Linked DNA regions of Struthio camelus. Each later gene encodes a partner of the first gene's protein in a complex. Links are inferred from orthologs where the notes say so. Each region holds a gene or a part of one and is shown on either strand. Other genes may lie near its edges.

Region 1 (6,680 bases):
GGGACGGGGCGATGCCGGGGGACGGGGCGATGCCGGGGGACGGGGTCTTGCTGGGGGACGGGGCTCCGCGGGGGTGCAGGGCATGCGGGGCACAGCCACCCGGCGCTGAGGGTTAACCGGCAGCAACTCCTCGTCCGGGTGCAGTGTGAGGAACCGGTGACCATGGTTGCTAGGTAACATTGACAGTAGTTGCTAGGTAGCAATGACAGCAGTTGCTAAGTAACAATGACAACAACTGCCAAGTAACAGTGACCAAGTTCTATGTAACATTGACAATAGGTGCTAGGTAACAATGACAACAGCTGGTAACTAACAGTAACAATAGTTGCTGCGTAACTGTTAGAACTTGCTGGGGAACAATAAAGACAGTTGCTACCGGAGAACAACAATAGCTGCAGGAACAGGTCCACGGGCCGGGCAGGGACAGGGGAAGGAGCAGGGGCAGGGACAAGGACAGGGACAGGGACAGGGATAGGGGCAGGGGCAGGGACAGGGCAGGGGCAGGGATAGGAGCAGGGATGGGGATAGGGATGGGGCAGGGATAGGAGCAGGGACAGGAACAGGGATAGGAGAGGGATGGGGCAGGGAGAGGGGCAGGGACAGGGTTAGGGATAGGGGCAGGGTGAGGGAAAGGCAGGACAAAGGCAGGGGCAGGAATAGGGACAAGGATAAGGATGGGGCAGGGCTTGGGGCTGGCGTAAGGGCAGGGATAAGGACACGGACAAGGGCAGGGGCTGGAGGCAGGGCTAAAGGATGGGGATTGGGGCAGAAATGGGGCAGGGAGAGGGACGGAGCAGGGCAGGGACAAGGACAAGGATGGGGCAGGGATGGGGAAGGGACAGGGAGAGGGACAGGGACAGGGATAGGAACAGAGATGGGGCAGGGTAGGGACAGGAACAGGGCTAGAGGCAGGGCTAAAAGATAGGGATTGGGGCAGGGAGGGGGACAGGGATAGACGGGGCAGGGATAGGGGAAGGGGCAGGGATGGGGCAGGGGTGGGGACCGGGCAGGGCTATCGGGGGGGCTCACCCGGGGCACCGGGAGGGCGAGCGGGGCTCCAGCGGGCCGAGCCCGGCTCCGGACCGAGCAACCGCCCTCGGGCTGCTGCGGGCCGCCGGGCCGGGAGAGCCGGTCGCGCCGGGGCTGCTCGGCCCCGGCCCCGGCACCGCCCGCCCCACGGCCGGCGGGCGGGCGGGACACGCGCGGCACCGCCGGGGCTCCAGCCCACGAACGCGCGTGTCCGTGGCCTCGCGGCTGGGAGCGGCCGCAGCCGCTGCCGCGGGGGGGGCGGCGGCACCGCGGGGGGCGGGGGCGGCAGGGGGCCGGGGGCACCGCGGGGGGCGCGGAGGGACCGCGGGGGGCCGGGTGCACCGCTGGGGGGGGCAAGGGGGGCGCGGGGGCGGCGGGGGGGCCGGGGGCACCGCGGGGGGAAAGGGGGGGCAAGGGGGCAAGGGGGCACCGCGGGGGGCGCGGAGGGACCGCGGGGGGCCGGGGGCACCGCGGGGGGCGCGGGCGGCGCTGCCCAGCCGGGTCCGGGAGGCTCCCGCGCCGCCTCCCGCAGCCGCCCCGGCCCGGTGCCGGTGCCGGTGCCGGTGCCGGTCGCCGCTGCATCTGCTCCCCGGACCCGGCAGCGCCGGGACCCTGCGCCGCCGGGTGCCTGCTCCGCGCCGCGCTGCACCCCCGAGCCCCCCCGCGCTCTGCATCGGCATTGTCCCCTCCGCCCCCTGCATCCCCGCAAGTCCCCCCTTACCCCCTTACCGCCCCCCCCAAATGCCCCTGCACCCCCTCTGCCTCTGCAGCATCCCACCGCCCCTCCGTCCCCCCAAATGCCCCCTCCACCCCCGATGCCCCTGCAGCATCCCACCGTCCCCCCTTCCCCCAAATACACCCTCCACCCACACTGCCCTGCATCGTCCTACTGCCCCCCGTCCCCCCAAATGCCCCCTCCACCCCCGATGCCCCTGCAGCATCCCACCGTCCCCTCCTTCACCCCAAACGTCCCCTGCACCCCCGATGCCCCTGCAGCATCCCACCGTCCCCCCTTCCCCCAAATACACCCTCCACCAACACTGCCCCTGCATCGTCCTACTGCCCCCCGTCCCCCCAAACGCCCCCTGCACCCCCGCTGCCCCTGCAGCATCCCACCGCCCCCCGTCCCCCCAAACGCCCCCTCCACCCCCGATGCCCCTGCAGCATCCCACCGCCCCCCGTCCCCCCAAACGCCCCCTGCGCCCCCGCTGCCCCATCCCGCGCGGCCCCTCCACCCCTCGGTCCCCCGGGCCTCCCCCGCCGCCCCCGCCCGCTCCCGCTGCCCGCCCGCTCCCCCGCCCCGGCCGCCGCTGGCGCCGCCCCCGCTCACTCGCTCGGCGGCTCCGGAGCGAGCGGGGCCGCGCGTCCCCGCTGCCGCCGCTGCCGCCGCTGCCGCAGCCGCTGCCGCAGCCGGTGCCGGTGCCGGTGCCGCCGCCCGCGGCAGCGCGATGGGCGCGGGGCGGCCCTGAGGCGGCGCCATGGACCCGCGGCGCCTCAACGACTCGCTGCAGGAGCTGCTCTGCCGCCCCGGCCCCGGCCCCGGCCCCGGCAACGCCACCGGCAACGCCACCGGCGCCGGCAACGCCTGGAACGGCTCCGCCTGCGACCTCCTCCGCAGGGGCCTCCGCGGGCCCCCCGCGCCCAAAGGTGAGCCGGGACGGGGCGGGACGGGACGGGACGGGACGGGACGGGACGGGACGGGACCGGACAGGACCGGACCGGACGGGACCGGACGGGACCGGACAGCCCCCGGCTGGACACGGCTCCCGGCGCTGCGCCCGAGCCTCCCGGTGCGCCCCGTCCGCCTGCCCGGTGCACCCTCCGTGCGCCCCACCGCCTGCCCGGTGCACCCCCCGTGCGCCCCACTGCCTGCCCGGTGCACCCTCCGTGCGCCCCGTCCGCCTGCCCGGTGCACCCCCCGTGCGCCCCACTGCCTGCCCGGTGCACCCCCCGTGCGCCCCGTCCGCCTGCCCGGTGCACCCTCCGTGCGCCCCACCGCCTGCCCGGTGCACCCTCCGTGCGCCCCGTCCGCCTGCCCGGTGCACCCTCTGTGCGCTCCACTGCCTGCCCGGTGCACCCCCCGTGCGCCCCGTCCGCCTGCCCGGTGCACCCCCCTGTGCGCCCCACTGCCTGCCCGGTGCACCCTCCGTGTGCCCTGTCCGTGTGCCCCGTCTGCCTGCCCGGTGCACCCCCCGTGCGCCCCACTGCCTGCCCGGTGCACCCTCCGTGCACCCCGTCTGCCTGCCCGGTGCACCCTTCCGTGCGCCCCATCCGCCTGCCCAGTGCACCCTCCGTGCGCCCCGTCCGCCTGCCCAGTGCACCCCCCGTGCGCCCCGTCCGCCTGCCCGGTGCACCCCCCGTGCGCTCCACTGCCTGCCCGGTGCACCCTCCATGCGCCCCGTCCGCCTGCCTGGTGCACCCTTCCGTGCACCCTGTCCGCCTGCCCGGTGCACCCCCCGTGCGCCCCACTGCCTGCCCGGTGCACCCTCCGTGCGCCCCATCTGCCTGCCCAGTGCACCCCCCGTGCGCCCCGTCCGCCTGCCCAGTGCACCCCACGTGCGTCCCACTGCCTGCCCGGTGCACCCCCCGTGTGCCCCGTCCGCCTGCCCAGTGCACCCTTCCGTGCGCCCCATCCGCCTGCCCAGTGCACCCCCCGTGCGCCCCGTCCGCCTGCCCGGTGCACCCCCCGTGCACCCCACTGCCTGCCCGGTGCACCCCCCGTGCGCCCCGTCCGCCTGCCTGGTGCACCCTCCGTGCGCCCCACCGCCTGCCTGGTGCACCCCCCATGCACCCCGTCCGCCTGCCCGGTGCACCCTCCGTGCGCCCCGTCCGCCTGCCCGGTGCACCCCCCGTGTGCCCCACTGCCTGCCCGGTGCACCCCCCGTGCGCCCCGTCCGCCTGCCCGGTGCACCCCCCGTGTGCCCCACTGCCTGCCCGGTGCACCCCCCGTGCGCCCCACTGCCTGCCCGGTGCACCCCCCTGTGCGCCCCGTCCGCCTGCCCGGTGCACCCCCCGTGCGCCCCACTGCCTGCCCGGTGCACCCCCCGTGCGCCCTGTCCGCCTGCCCGGTGCACCCCCCATGCACCCCGTCCGCCTGCCTGGTGCACCCTTCCGTGCGCCCCGTCCGCCTGCCCGGTGCACCCCCCGTGCGTCCCACTGCCTGCCCGGTGCACCCCCCGTGCGCCCCGTCCGCCTGCCCGGTGCACCCCCCGTGCGCCCCACTGCCTGCCCAGTGCACCCCCCGTGCGCCCCGTCCGCCTGCCCGGTGCACCCCCCCGTGCGCCCCGTCCGCCTGCCCGGTGCACCCCCCATGCACCCCGTCCGCCTGCCTGGTGCACCCTTCCGTGCGCCCCGTCCGCCTGCCCGGTGCACCCCCCGTGCGCCCCGTCCGCCTGCCCGGTGCACCCTTCCGTGCTCCCCCTCCGCCTGCCCAGTGTACCCCCCGTGCGCCCCGTCCGCCTGCCTGGTGCACCCTTCCGTGCACCCCGTCCGCCTGCCCGGTGCACCCCCCGTGCGCTCCACTGCCTGCCCGGTGCACCCCCCTGTGCGCCCCATTGCCTGCCCGGTGCACCCTCCGTGCGCCCCGTCTGCTTGCCTCATGCACCCCCCTGTGCACCCCAGTCTGTGCTCCGTCCACCTGCATGGTGCCCCCTCCTGCACACCGTGCCACACGCTCCACTGCGCACTCTGCCGTGCGTCCCATCCACCTGCCTGGAGCACCCCCCGTGCACCCCACACCTCCCAATGTGCTGCCCACCTGCCTGGTTCACCCCACCATACACCTCCTGTGCACTCTGCTGTGCACCGTGTCCACCCGCCCGGTGCACCCCAGTGCGCCCCCCTGTGTCCTGTCTGCCTCCCCAAAGCAGCTCCGTTCATCCCACCGTGCACACGGTGCACCCCATGCTCCTGCCTCCACGCAGCCCGGAGCATCCCACAGTGCCCCATCCCTGCTGCATCTGGGTCTGGTTTGTCACACCAGCTGGTGCCCACAGCACAGTCCCAGGTCCCAGTCACTGGCCCGGGGGGGCTGCGTGCCCAAGCGGCACCAGACTGCAGGACAGCAGGACCCCCTACCCCGCACGGCACCACCCGGCTCTGCGGCTCCACAGCTCCACGCCTCGGGGCTCTGCGGCTCCACAGCTCGGAGCTCTGCGGCTTGGGGGCTCCACGGCTCGGAGCTCCGCAGCTCCATGGCTCCATGGTTCCACTGCTCGGAGCTCCGCGGCTTGGGGGCTCCACAGCTCCACTGCTCGGAGCTCCGCGGCTTGGGGGCTCCACAGCTCCACTGCTCGGAGCTCCGCGGCTTGGGGGCTCCACAGCTCCACTGCTCGGAGCTCCGCGGCTTGGGGGCTCCACAGCTCCACTGCTCGGAGCTCCGCGGCTTGGGGGCTCCACAGCTCCACTGCTCGGAGCTCCGCGGCTTGGGGGCTCCACAGCTCCACTGCTCGGAGCTCCGCGGCTTGGGGGCTCCACAGCTCCACTGCTCGGAGCTCTGCGGCTTGGGGGCTCCACAGCTCCACTGCTCGGAGCTCTGCGGCTTGGGGGCTCCACAGCTCCACTGCTTGGAGCTCTGCGGCTTGGGGGCTCCAGGGCTCCACTGCTCAGAGCTCTGCGGCTTGGGGGCTCCACAGCTCCACTGCTCGGAGCTCTGCAGCTCCATGGCTCCACGGTTCCACTGCTCGGAGCTCTGCGGCTTGGGGGCTCCACAGCTTCACTGCTCGGAGCTCTGCAGCTTGGGGGCTCCACAGCTCAGAGCTCTGCAGCTCGGGGGCTCCACAGCTGGAAGCTTTGCGGCTCACGGGCTCCATGGCTCCAGGGCTCCACTGCTCAGAGCTCCACAGCTCGGGGGCTCCACAGCTGGAAGCTTCGCAGCTCAGGGGCTCCAGGGCTCCACTGCTCAGAGCTCCACAGCTTGGGGGCTCCACATCTGGGAGCTCCGCAGTTCAGGGGCTCCGCAGCTCCACAGCCTGGGAGCTCTGTGGCTCAGGGACTCCGCAGCTTGGGCGCTCTGTGACCCTGTAGCTCAGGGGCTCCACGGCTCCACAGCTCCATCGCTTGGGGGCTCCACAGCTCGGGGGCACCGAGGTTCTGTGGCTCAGGGGCTCCCCAGCTCCACGGCTCACGGGCTCCGTGGCTCGGGGGCTCCACGGCTCGGGGGCTCTGCAGCTCAGGGGCACCGAGGCTCCCCTGCTCCAGGGCTCCCCAGCTCCATGACTCAGGGGCTCCACAGCTCAGAGGCTCCACGGCTCGGGGGCTCTGCAGCTCAGGGGTTCCTCAGCTCGGGGGCACCACAGCTCCCTGGCTCCGTGGCTCTGCAGGAGAGTCCTGCTGCGCCGGGGGAAGACGCCGTGGGGCATCCTGCTGGAATCCATCACGCCGAAGGGAGCCCAGGCGTCCTGGTGCCCGCTCCCCGCGTGCCTGCCAGGCGCTCGGAGAGCCGGCAGGAGCCCAGGCGCCCCCGGGCAGGCTGCGGGGCGCGCGGGGGCACCCGTGGCGCGCGCGTGACCGCTGCCACCCCGCAGACCTGGACCTGACGGTGCGCGTCCTGCTGTACGCGCTGATCTTTGTGCTGAGCGTGTGCGGGAACGCCCTGGTCGTGGCCGTGCTGCTCCTGAACCGCCGCCTGCGCACCGTCACCAACTCCTTCC
Region 2 (5,874 bases), on another chromosome or scaffold:
GCAGCCGTTCAGACACAAGAGGGAGGCACTGCCTCAGCCCAGCTCTCCTGCCGCCAGCCCACCGAGGCTGGGTGCAGCGCACTGCAGCCCGGGGCAGGGTGAGAAACTCGCCAGCACAGGTTGCTGAAAAGCCACTTAGTGCCATGACCCTTTTTTGCCTCCTTGTGTTTGTCCTGCCAAGGGGCAGTTAGGCGCGGCAGCACCCATGGCCTTGCGGGTGGGCTGGGAGGAAGGATCTGGCCCAGGCGCTCGTGGGCCATGCTGCAAACCTGCGTCAAGGGGCTGCCGAGCAGCGGTGCCGAAGGAAGCGACGGCCGCGCACCCATCGCCCTGGAGGCTCGTTTGGGCAAGAGTGAAGCATTAAAAGCGAGAAATTGCAAAACAATTTGTTTGTTCCCTGCAGAGCGCTCTCCAGCGCGAGCAATCGATTGCTGCGGCGCACTGCGCCCTTCCTGCCCATTGAAAGCCCATTTATTTTGGGTTTATTTAAAGAGCGGGCATATTGGCCCGCGCAGAGGGGGGCTGTGGGCAGCCACGGCGAGCACACCGGGCGCCGCAGCCGAGCACCGGCCCTTATCACGCTGAAAGAGGGAGCCAAACGGGCTCTGCAAATACACCGGGATGAGGGTAAATATGGGCACGAGGACGTGTCAATGCTGGAAGGGCCATATCGGTGCTGGCAGATGGGGCTTGGCCGGGGTTGGGGGGGGGGGCAGGTCTCACTCAGGGGATGGGTCACTGACATTAGTTGCCCCGGGGGTGGGGGGGCGGAATGCACAGACACCAACATCTATGTGTGCATATACATGCACATGCCCTTGCATACACATGTGTATAGGGCCATATGTATTTATACACGTGTGTATACACACACACACACACACACATATATGTATGTAGATTACATATAGAGATAATATTAAAAAAAAAAAAAAAAACCTTAGCATGCATGTACCTATATCTGTTTGTGTACATAGGCACTTTTTTAATAATCCTTCAGTATATCCCCCACACAGAGCGCATCATGTGTACACTGACACACACATATGCATGCATAAATGTAGAAAATACATGGTTATAGCACTACAGACAGAGGCACATCTAGACACACACACACACACACACACACACACACACACACACACACACACACACACACACACACACACACACACACACACACACGAGTTGCCTGTACAGCCCCCCCCCCCCCCCGGCCCTGTGTGCATGTGCACCATACACCTTTAGCTATAGCTATCTATACATGCACCTATAGCTGTATACCATAGCACTCTGTGCTTCTATGTATGTATAGCTGTGTACTATATACCTAGAGATAAAATTGTCCATGTGTGGGTATAGCAATAAACACACAGCCTCTGTGTAGTATAAACCTATAGCTAGCTATATATGTGAATGCATCTTTATACATACAGCTGGGGGGGGTCATACTATATAGCTATCTAAATAAGTGCATATCTATCTGGCTATATAGAGCTATCTAGCTCTATATAAACTCTTTATACCTACAGCTCTGTCTGTAAGTATATCTGTATACCTATAAATATAGCCAGCTCTATGTGTGTAGAGCTTTCCCCATACAGCTGTGTGTGTGTGTGTGTGTGTGTGTGTGTGTGTGTGTGTGTGTGTGTGTGTGTGTGTGTGTGTGTGTGTGTGTGTGTGTGTGTAGCGAGAGAGAGCTATAAAATATTAAAAAAAAAAAAAAACTTCATGCCAACAGCTCTGTGTGTATGTATATCTGTATACTATTACCTATAGATATAGCTATTGCACTATGTGTAGCTCTCTCCCTCCACAGCTCTGTGTGTGTGTGTCTGTGTGGTATATACCAAAAGCTAGCTATATATGTGAATATATCTTTATACACACAGCTGTATGTCTTTATAATACAGCGCTATCTATATATGCATATAGGACATCATACACACAGCACTCTGTGTGCATATATCTGTATATATACCTATAGATATAGCTCTGTGTGTGTGTGTGTGTGTGTGTGTCTCTCCCCCCCCCCCCAAGTGTGTGGGGGTTGTGTGTGCTATACACCTTTAGCTATAGCTGTCTATATATGTGCGGGTGCACAGACACACACACAGACACACACACACAGACACACACAGACACACACAGACACACAGACACACACACACACACACAGACACACACAGACACACACGCACACACACACACACACACATATGAGCGCGCCCCCCCCCCCCATAGCCACTGCACTCTACGTTTCTGTGTAGGTATAGTTGTATTCTATATACCTATAGATGCAGCTAGCTCTATGTGTAGATCTCTCTCCCCCCCACAGCTGTGTGTCTGTTTACTATATACCTACGTGAATGCATGTACGTGAATATATCTTTATACGCACAGCTGTGTGTGCGTTTTTATTATATAGCTATCTGTATATGCTTATAGAATGGCATATACACAGCACTCGTGTGTGTGTGCACGCGCGCGCGCGCGTGTGTGCGTGCGCATGTGTGTGCATGTGTGTGTGTGTGTAGCTTTATACCCACAGCTCTGTGTATCTGGCTATAAGCGTGTGTCTGTGTCTCTGAATATATGTGCATGCATATGTGTCTGCAACTATATGAGTTTGCATATACAGATGTGAGTGTGTTTGTGTGCGTGCGTGCATGCGTGTGTCACTATACACACACACACACACAGAGGTATGTTTCTGTTTGTCTATAGGCACATGTGACTCTGCGTGTGTGCATATAGATATGTGTGTGTGTGTGTGTGTGCACATACAGATGTGTATGTGTCTGCATATACATAAATGTGTGTCTGTATATACATGTGTGCTTGTCTGTCTGTGTGTGTGTGTGTGTGTGTCTGTGTGCATAGTCATACATGTGTGTGCTTTGTATGTACATGTGCATGGCCATGTATAATATGCAGGTGTATGTGTCCGTGTGCATACACGTGTATGTGCATATACACGTGTGTGCTAGTCCCTGTGGCTATGAGTGCACGTCTGTGTGTGTGTACATACACACATATGTGCCTGTGCACACACATGCGTGGGCCTCCGTGCGCGCACACCTGCACGTTTCTATACATGCTCGCGCGTGTCCCTGCGCCTACAGCGATGTGCCACCGTGTCCCCCGCGCTGGAGACACATACGTGTGCAGGCGGGTGCGTGGGGCTGCAGCCCCCCCCCCCCTTCCCCCCGGCACCGGGGGGCGGAGCGGGGCGGGCGGCGGCGGCACCTTTAAAGCGGGGCCGGGGCCGGCGGCGGGGCCGCCCGCGGACGCCGCAGGTGAGCGGGGACCGGGACCGGGGGCAGGACCGGGACCGGGGGCAGGACCGGGACCGGGACCGGGGGCAGGACCGGGACCGGGGGCAGGACCGGGACCGGGGACAGGACCGGGACCGGGACCGGGGGCAGGACCGGGACCGGGACCGGGACCGGGGGCAGGACCGGGACCGGGGGCAGGAACGGGAACGGGACCGGGACCGGGGACAGGACCGGGACCGGGGGCAGGACCGGGACCGGGACCGGGGGCAGGAATGGGACCGGGACCGGGACCGGGGGCAGGACCGGGACCGGGGGCAGGACCGGGACCGGGACCGGGGGCAGGAATGGGACCGGGACCGGGACCGGGGGCAGGACCGGGACCGGGACCGGGGGCAGCGGGCGGGCGCCGGTGGGATGCGGGGTCCCGCTCGCCGGGCTGACGGCCGGTGCCCCGCAGCCATGAAGAGGAGGGTGAGCATCGGCCTCGTGCTGGCCGCCGCCGCCGCCTGCCTGGCCCGGCCCGCGGCCGAGGCGCCCCGCTGGCCCCGGGCTGCGCCGCTGCACCACGACCGCGACCGCCCCGCGCCGCCGCCCGAGCAGCAGCACCTCGTCTCGCTGCTGCTGCCGCAGCTCCTGGCAGGTACCGGCCGGCCCGCCCGCCCTGCCGCCCCGGCGGGGCCCCGGGCGGCGCTGAGCTGTCCCCCCCTTGTCCCCGCAGAGCTGAGCAGCCAGCCAGGCTACCTGCACGGCGACGCGGGCGCCGAGGCCCTGCACGACCACTACTACTACTACCCCGACTGGATGGACTTTGGCCGCCGCAGCGCCGAAGACTCGGCCAGCGGCTCCTAGCCGCTGGGCTGGCCCGCAGAGCACGAGCACGCTCGCTGCATGCTTCGCCCTGCAATAAAGCTTTGGCACTACAGCCCCGCTGCTTGCTATATATATCTATATAGGCTTTTTCCCAGGAAAAGCTGGGGGAGATTGCGTGCCCAGCCTGCCCCAGGTCCACAGGCAGGACGGGGGGAGCAGCAGGGCCAGGGCTGAGTACGCCCAGCCCCAGCGCGGGGCCACCCATCCTGCTGGGAAATCCCAGCCCACCCCAGAGAGCAGAGCCGGCCGGGACTGGCAGGATTCACCCCCCTGAGCCCTGCCGGGAAGCACCAAGCAGGGACCTGGCAGGATTCACCCCCCCGAGCCCCGCCGGGAAGCACCAAGCAGGGACCTGGCAGGATTCACCCCCCCAGCCCCACCGGGAAGCAGCAGGCAGGGACCCGACAGGAAAGGCCGAGCGGCTGCAAACACGGCACACGGGAGCTGCTTCACGGCGGCGTCACCTTTATTGGCCAGGGCTGAGCCTGGGGCGAGGGCTGCGCCGGCAGCGGCAAACCCGCGGGCGGGCGGCAGCCAAGGGGAGAGGAGTGCGGGCCCAAGCAGGGGAGGCTTTCCGTCCTGCTTCTGCTTACTGGCAGAAAAAGTTGTAAAAAGCTCAAAAACTTTCTTTAAGATACAGTCCTGGTGCTGCTCTAGGTCCCAGCCGTGGTGGAAGGCCGTCTCACCCCCCCCCCCCCGAGTCTGGCTGCGGAGCGGGGGCCGCTGCCCCCCACAGCACCGGGAACAGTCCTTATTGCTAGCGGCAGGCTCCCGCAACCAGCCCGCAGCAGCCCCCGCTGCTACGGGGCACAAGCCGGGCTGCTTTCCCTGAGAAAAAGCGCAGGCGCTGGGCTGTGAGGAGCATCCGTGGCCAGCCGCGTCCTCGCAGCCCCGAGCGGCTGCGGGAGCAGAGGCTGGTGCACCGGCCCCGGCCCGTTCCCAGCTGGATGGAGGTGAAGAGGAGGGAGCGGGGGCGCAGGCCACATCCCATCCCGAGCTTGCTGTCACGTCAGACCGTCCCCGGGCCTCCCGTGCACGTAGGACATCTCCCCTCTGGCCACCACTTTGTCCAGCCCCAGGCGCCGCAGCTTCTCCACCAAGTTCAAGCTGAAGATGCTGCTCCGCAGTGGGGGCCGGTCCTGCTGCGGGGAGCCCGGCGCGTGGTCCTGGGGGGGCTGCGCCAGGGCCGACGGGGATGTGACCCCTTGGCTCCAGCTGCCCGGCACCGAGGCGGAGATGCCCCGCGCCTGCAGCAGCAGGACGAGTCCCAGCGAGGGGCCTGGCTGCAGCTGGTGGTGCGACGGCTCCGGCGGGGGGCTCAGCCTCGCAAAGGGCCCACAAGAAGGCACGACTGTGTTATACAGGCTGGAGGGAAGAGAGAGCAAAGGGGGGGTCAGCACAGCCCAGCACCACGGAGGGATGCTGCTGCTGCTGGAGGTGGCCGGGTCCTTGGGCACCCCCAAGCTCACGGTGGAACGGGGCAGCAGTGATATGGGCACATTGAGGGGTGCAGTTGTGGGGGTGCTTCATGCTTGTGCAGTGGGGACAGGCTACAGTCGCTGCCCCGTAGGTGTTGTGCACCTGTGCAACACCTAAGGCCACACAGCAGACTCCCGCTCACCCCGTCCCCTCCCCAAGCCCTCAAGGGCTCATTCAGGCTAAAGCAACGGCACCGGTTAATGAAGGAGCCCTGTTTCCTTGCTCGGCTCAGGTGGTCAGGCAGGTC

Evidence for each region.
Region 2: the proteins of CCKBR (region 1) and gastrin/cholecystokinin-like peptide are in contact, whole or in part, in a cryo-EM structure (PDB 7XOW), measured with the Homo sapiens proteins. The link is inferred for Struthio camelus from reciprocal best matches to the Homo sapiens genes CCKBR and GAST. Residues at the interface, in NP_795344.1 of Homo sapiens: Cys107, Pro114, Asn115, Gly118, Thr119, Phe120, Met134, Gly135, Val138, Tyr189, Gln204, Cys205, His207, Leu222, Val349, Tyr350, Ala352, Asn353, Arg356, Pro361, Ala363, His364, Leu367, Ser368, Ile372, His376, Tyr380; in NP_000796.1 of Homo sapiens: Glu85, Ala86, Tyr87, Gly88, Trp89, Met90, Asp91, Phe92.

Annotation. Positions count from the first base shown.
Region 1 is NC_090942.1:225,048,837-225,055,516, forward strand, and holds the start of CCKBR (gastrin/cholecystokinin type B receptor), read left to right. Parts: upstream 1-2,471; 5' UTR 2,472-2,507; coding exon 2,508-2,676; intron 2,677-6,554; coding exon 6,555-6,680. Other genes in the region: CNGA4 (cyclic nucleotide-gated channel alpha-4), read left to right, coding at 124-177. UniProt on the Homo sapiens protein: Receptor for gastrin and cholecystokinin. The CCK-B receptors occur throughout the central nervous system where they modulate anxiety, analgesia, arousal, and neuroleptic activity.
Region 2 is NC_090966.1:7,281,962-7,287,835, forward strand, and holds gastrin/cholecystokinin-like peptide, read left to right. Parts: upstream 1-3,283; 5' UTR 3,284-3,299; intron 3,300-3,735; 5' UTR 3,736-3,737; coding exon 3,738-3,918; intron 3,919-3,996; coding exon 3,997-4,127; 3' UTR 4,128-4,199; downstream 4,200-5,874. Other genes in the region: HAP1 (huntingtin-associated protein 1), read right to left, coding at 5,153-5,513. UniProt on the Homo sapiens protein: Gastrin stimulates the stomach mucosa to produce and secrete hydrochloric acid and the pancreas to secrete its digestive enzymes. It also stimulates smooth muscle contraction and increases blood circulation and water secretion in the stomach and intestine.